Kluyveromyces lactis: one gene and its partner. The protein of the gene in region 1 interacts with the protein of each later gene in a biochemical or structural test. Links are inferred from orthologs where the notes say so. Each region holds a gene or a part of one and is shown in the gene's direction. Other genes may lie near its edges.

Region 1 (3,779 bases):
TCCAGTTTACGTAATAGCGATAATAAATTCAATCGGAGGAAATTCGTCACCACTTTCAATTGTGACACAGACAACCCATGGTCAGGTCCGTGACCAATAGAACCCGAAGAGGCTGTGAGGTTAATGAATTTATTCAAAGAATTCAAAAGATGCATATCTTGCCTGCCAGTATCCATGTTAAATCTGTCTGTTCTTGATTTCTTTTACTGTTGGTTCTCAAAGTGTTCTATCTCAATTAATTGGTAACTTTCTTAGGTTACTGGCTGAAAGGTCGTTCAAAAGAGGATTTTATAACTCTAACCGCATGTACGAAACCTTTCCCCAAGCACGTAAGGCAACTATCGAACGAATAAAATGTTTTCTGAGATCTAAATTTGGGTCAGAACTGGAGAATCTACTTTTGTTCCCAGAGACAGAAAGATTTCAAAACACAGACGTCAGAGCTTTTGGCAATCCCTTATGAAATGTGAAATAATCAAAGCGAACGTTTTACACCAGGTGTTGATACAATCACTAGGGCTTCTCACAATAATACAATTGGATTTGGTCCCACTGCTATTCTCTTGTCTCTACACAAAATACTGAATGAATATAGAAACAAACTTTATATATTTTATGTGAACTTAAAGGATCTCAGATCTTAGAAATTCTTATATTGAAACGGAATGAAAAATCTTTGTATACTAAAAACAACAAGAATCTATTAGTAACACATGTAATAACATCAAATTCAACGCCATTTCCCATCACATTAGAACGCACACAGCCCAAGAGTTTACCATGTAATGAATTTATCAAAAAGTGCTGCCTGGCACTTCCTTTTTCCACCCTGCGAACATGGATTACTTGCTGCTACCTTCACGTGACCTTGGTTTTCGATAAATTCGCCAAAAATATTTCAAAGAAAAAAAGTTAAAAAGGTTTTACTTTAAAAGTTGACAAGATAGCATCACTAATGTCGGTCTTGAAGAGGTATCTCGAACGCCTTGTAAGGGTACTACTCGGCAAGACGTATTACTGACATTATAGTTTGCAAAATACTTAGTGTGGGAGGGTTTTTTTCAGTCTTTCACATCTAGAGATATATAATTTGAGACTGATTATCAGTGTGATATTCTGAGCTTACGAAATTCACGAAAGGTTTACTGTACTTGCTCACATTGTCATACAAGCTCTAAGTTTTCTGAGACCTATACATAAATCCGCATATATGAATGACCATTTTGTTAAGCGGCCAAAGCTAGAGCTTTCCGATCCTTCTGAGCCGTTAACGCAGAAGGATGTAATAGCGTTCCAAAAAGAGGCATTGTTCAGATGTTTGAATAAGTGGAGAGTCAAAGCTAACCAGCTTGTAGAAGAGAATGAGGTTTTAGCGGCTGGGCTTTCGAAGACCACCGAGTCGGTTTCTGGATGCTGTTCATCTATAGTCGTATTGGCTAGATCTGTGGTTGAGGACTGCAGCGATGAGCAGGACAAACGCTTTTTACAACAACTCATCAATACTGAGGATGAGCATACCCTTACACAGATAATCAGCAATAACAGTGCTAGGATATGCGAACTAATACTGAAGACCAGTGGATCTAACATCTCTGATAACATCGGTAGACTACAGGAGCTAGAATCGCTCACTTTGACTTTACAGAAGCTGTTGAAATCCTCTGAAAATAAGCTGAAGAAGGCTACCGAATATTATGAGAATATAATTGCTCAGTATGATAGACAGGACAGTGAAAGTGTTTCTCGTGTGTTTAACACTGCTGATGATGATAGCAATGTAAAGAAAGAGAAGCAATCTTCGACTGGCGCAAGCTCTGTGAATGACGAGTCAAATGATAACTCAGACAAATCCCAATCTAATAAAGAAAGTGCAGTATCTCAGGCTCACCACGAAATTGAAATAAATGACTTGAATACTCAAATCTCCGTCTTGGAGGCTACGGTAAAGGAATTAACGGAATGGAAAAATCAAAATGAAAGAGAACTTTCGGAACTACGACAAACAGTAGCATCTAATAAATCAGCGCTTTCTAACAACCAACTTCAATCTAATTCGCAACATCAACCAGATGCTTCAGTTACTAATGAAAAAATCAGTTCCTTAACTAAACAGAATGAACAGTTACAACAGATTAATGAAGGCTACTTAACCAAGTTTCAACAACTATCCGCGGATAGAGAAATATTCAACAATAAACTTACCTCAGAGTTTAATTTAGCACAGGAGACCCTTAAAAAGCACAATGCTTCTCTAGAGAAAGATTTAGTTAGGATCAGAACAATTCGTGATGAATTATTGGCCAAAGTTTCTCTTTTGGAGGCACAAAAGACCAAATCTGAGATGTTAGAGGATTTAGAAAAGTCATTGAATATCCAACAAGAACAACTACAAAAGTTTGAATCCAGAAGTTCAGAAAATGCGTCCCAAGATGCATTAATGAAAGAATTACAGGATCTCGAAAAGGCCTTCAGAGAGGTGTCACATCTTTCAAACAAAAAGTATGCTGCATACCTGAACCAAGAATCTGTTTTAAGTAAATTGACAGTTGAAAAGACAAAGGCCAGCGAAAAATATTTTGCTGCAATGAGATCCAAAGATGCTATAATGATAGAAAACAAAAATCTTTCTAAAAATTTGAACAAATCAAACGAGCTCATCGTTCAATTGAAGGACCTTGAAAAGACGTTACAACAGAAGATCGTAAACGTTCACATGCAGTTGAGCCTATCCCAAGAGAATGAGAAGAGGGTCAAAGAATCTAACAAAGAAACTTCAATGAAGATAGTGGAATTGACATCTGAGAATAATAAATTGAAAAAATCAACAGAACGTCTTGAATCAGAAACCAGAAATCTAATCGGAACTAAGACTGAGCTCGAATCTAAAATCAAGGACAAAGATATCGAAAACAAGCAGCTGAAGATCAAGGTTTCCAGTGCTGAAGCCAAGTCAAAGAAATTATACAAGACATTACTCTCTAATGGTGGTGACAATGGTGCTCTAGCCGAAGAGTTAGAGAATTTCCGTACTATAATCTACTGTTCATTATGTTCCAAAAATTGGAAGAATACTGCCCTCAAGACTTGCGGTCATGTGTTTTGCGATGTTTGCTGCAAAGAAAGATTAGCTGCTAGGATGAGAAAATGTCCTACATGTAACAAACCTTTCTCATCTAACGATTTACTATCCATACATTTATGAACGAGTCTTATTCCGCATTCTATCAGGGTGCATCTTGGAAAACAAGGCCGTTTATTTTCAAACGGTAAACACGCCTGTCTTCTTAGAATGGTATATATTTTTTGAAAATGCCTTATCCATCCTTACCCCCTTGACCCCACAGTTTGACTTATATACATTTTTCATTGTATATATTATCTATGTAACATTATTCTAATATATCGCTTGTAAATACCTAATTCGGTAGTTCTGATTAAAAAATCAACAAAATTCAAAGTCTGACATTTAATCGACTACTGCGATGAGATAAAGAAATCACAGGACTATTCTCATAGTAACGGCTCTCTATATATATAAGGTGGGACACACAAGAGCAGAAGCGGTAATACTAAGTATTAGTCGTCCGCTTAAAATTTTTGGTAGCGTCTCTAAAAGTACTGAACTGTCCTTTATTATCTCTAAGGTTTTTCCGGGTCGCACAAGAGCTCTCGGTAAGATGTCATTGTCAGTGCAGCTTCCTACCGCTAAGAAGCTAACAAAAAAAAATGATCCATTGCATATTATTAAAACTAGAAGTCAGACACACTGCAGACCAGCG
Region 2 (2,471 bases), about 590 kb from region 1:
ATCAAGCATCATTAATAAGGATTTGGTGATTCAACAATCTTCTATCTCCGGCGATTTGAAGATTGTTGAATTGGACCAGAAAGTACATCCAAAGAGTCTAACTTTCTACAAGCTTAAACAGCATAGAAACTTTATCGAAAATCAATTGCCCCGTATCAGGTTTACAAGACTCAATTCCCTTAACTTTTACATCAGTCCCGTCTTACCAGCGATCTTCGATGACGTTACCATTTCAAACAACTTAACGAAACTAACGATAGCTGGCAACAAGAAAATCAATGACGAAGAGTTAATCTCACTGATTTTGGGGCTGCCGAATTTGATAGATTTAGACCTACGTGCATGTTCTCAGATCAGTGACATTTCCATCGTTTCTATCGTAACGCACTGTCCCAAACTACAAAGTATAAACTTGGGGCGTCATGAAAACTCGCATTTGATTACTGATCTTTCAATCATGGCACTATCTGAGTTAGAACATCTTACTACGGTCGGTTTCTCAGGATGCGACAAGATCTCTGACGTATCAATATGGCAACTGTACAGCAAACATTCAACAACGCTGGTTCGATTGTCAATAAATGGCTGCACACAAATATCAGATAGTAGCATTAGCGATATCGTTGCCAAGCATGGATTTCCAAATCTGAAAGTCTTAGATATCCGGAACTGTCAACTGGTTCGTTTCAAAAACTTAATCCAATACCGTGACTGGAGACACAAATATCTGATGAAACCGATACATATCCATATCAGTGATTCGATGAAGAAAGAATTCGAATTGCAAGAACAGCAGCTATACAAGGAATTCAGAACTCGGATCGTCAACGATCTAAATAGATGGGTCAACGAAGCGACCTGAGATAAAAAAATAATCTGAGAGACTCTCATACGTTATACCATCAGCAGGTATATAACCACTGCTCCAATCGTATCATGACACTAATGTAATTTGCACCTTATATATTCCCGACTAATTAAACCAAATCATTCTCTTCTTAATCCGCTCCTCTCACAGCTCTGAAGTAGCAGTTGCCCAATATAACTCACGTGACTAATATCACATAGTTTTAAAATTGAAAAAGTTGGAAATGCAGTCAAATACGAAGATTTAGAAAGAGAGACACTGCTCAGTAGATGAGATGAGGCAGTTGTTCATCCAATAGTATAGCAGTGAATAATCTCCTATCAGTATCGGAAAATGAGTGAACCAAACGAAGGAGGATCTAGTTATAGGTCCGGAGGAAACTACAATGGATACAAGCCCTCTGGAAACAGATATCAGCCTAATAGTAATAACAGAGGTCCGCCAAGATACAGGTCGAATCACAGACAAGATGGAGGATACTATAACAACGGGGGGTATCATCAACAACAGGGGTATGGATACGGTCAGCCCACTCATGCACACGGAGTGCAGAGACAGACGTACAGGGGAGGTTCCTACCATCCATACCAACACAGCGATAGTAGATACGGTTCGAATTCAACGTACAGAAGACCTTACGGACAGCAGTCTGTACCACCAGCGCCACCACCATCCACGGCGTCATCAGTATCATCATCATCGGCGTACTCGCGGGGATCAAATGTGTTACCGGTGTCCCGGAATTCTTATCCAAGTCCCAAATACGAACAACCAAAGAAAAAGTTCACCATACCAAAGGACGAGAATCCGTTCATATACATGATGAGTAACGATGATCACTCCAGGACATCTAAACTCAAAGAGGTGTACAAAGAGAATGATCAGATTGATAATAAACTAGAAGAACTCAAATTGAAAATATTCAAAGACGAGTTAGAGCTGGGTTTAATGAGCACGCAGTGCGAAAAAGATGCTTTGAATGTTCAGCTCACGCAGGAGAAATTAGATAGTCTACTAATGAACTAATAAGGAAGAATAGAACATCAGTATATACTCGAATCATAAATAGTACTAGTCATGTAATCAATGAGAGTACTGCCATGTATCATTACCATTCCAGCTAGATATATATTCCATTTTGTCACTTACTGTGTTCCAACGGGTATCCAATTTTCTATCCTAAAGAAATTGAAATAAAAAGTTGAAAGTTTGGGACATAAGAGTAGAGTAATACGCGATGCAAGTATTGGCAGAGCAGAATAATTGTCACAGGTAACCGTAGCAAACTCTGTTAACGGATCAGTGATCAGTGCAAAATGGTGGCTTTAATTGATCAACTATACAATGTTACAGCATTGAGAGAATGCAGTTCCTTAAATGTTGCTGCATGGATAGTTTTCGGGTTAGGTATATCAAAGATGGTGTTTTTGACCTTAAACTTCAGCAAGATGGTCTTAGACTTGTTTGTTCTTCCAGGTCCAGACTTTAAGAAGTACGGTAAGGGGAAAGGTGCATATGCTGTTGTTACTGGTGCTAGTGACGGTATTGGTAAAGAATACGCCAAACAATTAGCGAAACGCGGGTTCAACCTAATTTTGATCAG

What was found.
Region 2: the proteins of BRE1 (region 1) and LGE1 form a complex in vitro, tested with the Saccharomyces cerevisiae proteins (2 studies listed by BioGRID, with this or other methods). The link is inferred for Kluyveromyces lactis from reciprocal best matches to the Saccharomyces cerevisiae genes BRE1 and LGE1.

What each region holds. Positions count from the first base shown.
Region 1 is NC_006038.1:267,221-270,999, reverse strand, and holds BRE1 (E3 ubiquitin-protein ligase BRE1), read left to right. Parts: upstream 1-1,210; coding exon 1,211-3,202; downstream 3,203-3,779. Other genes in the region: AHK1 (Ahk1p), read right to left, coding at 1-176; DUS4 (tRNA dihydrouridine synthase), read left to right, coding at 3,678-3,779. UniProt on the Saccharomyces cerevisiae protein: E3 ubiquitin-protein ligase that mediates monoubiquitination of histone H2B to form H2BK123ub1 in association with the E2 enzyme RAD6/UBC2.
Region 2 is NC_006038.1:857,553-860,023, reverse strand, and holds LGE1 (Lge1p), read left to right. Parts: upstream 1-1,201; coding exon 1,202-1,894; downstream 1,895-2,471. Other genes in the region: AMN1 (Amn1p), read left to right, coding at 1-862; IFA38 (ketoreductase), read left to right, coding at 2,185-2,471. UniProt on the Saccharomyces cerevisiae protein: Required to activate transcription of PDR3, a gene involved in retrograde regulation of multidrug resistance, a phenomenon that takes place in cells that have lost their mitochondrial genome. Also required for ubiquitination of histone H2B to form H2BK123ub1.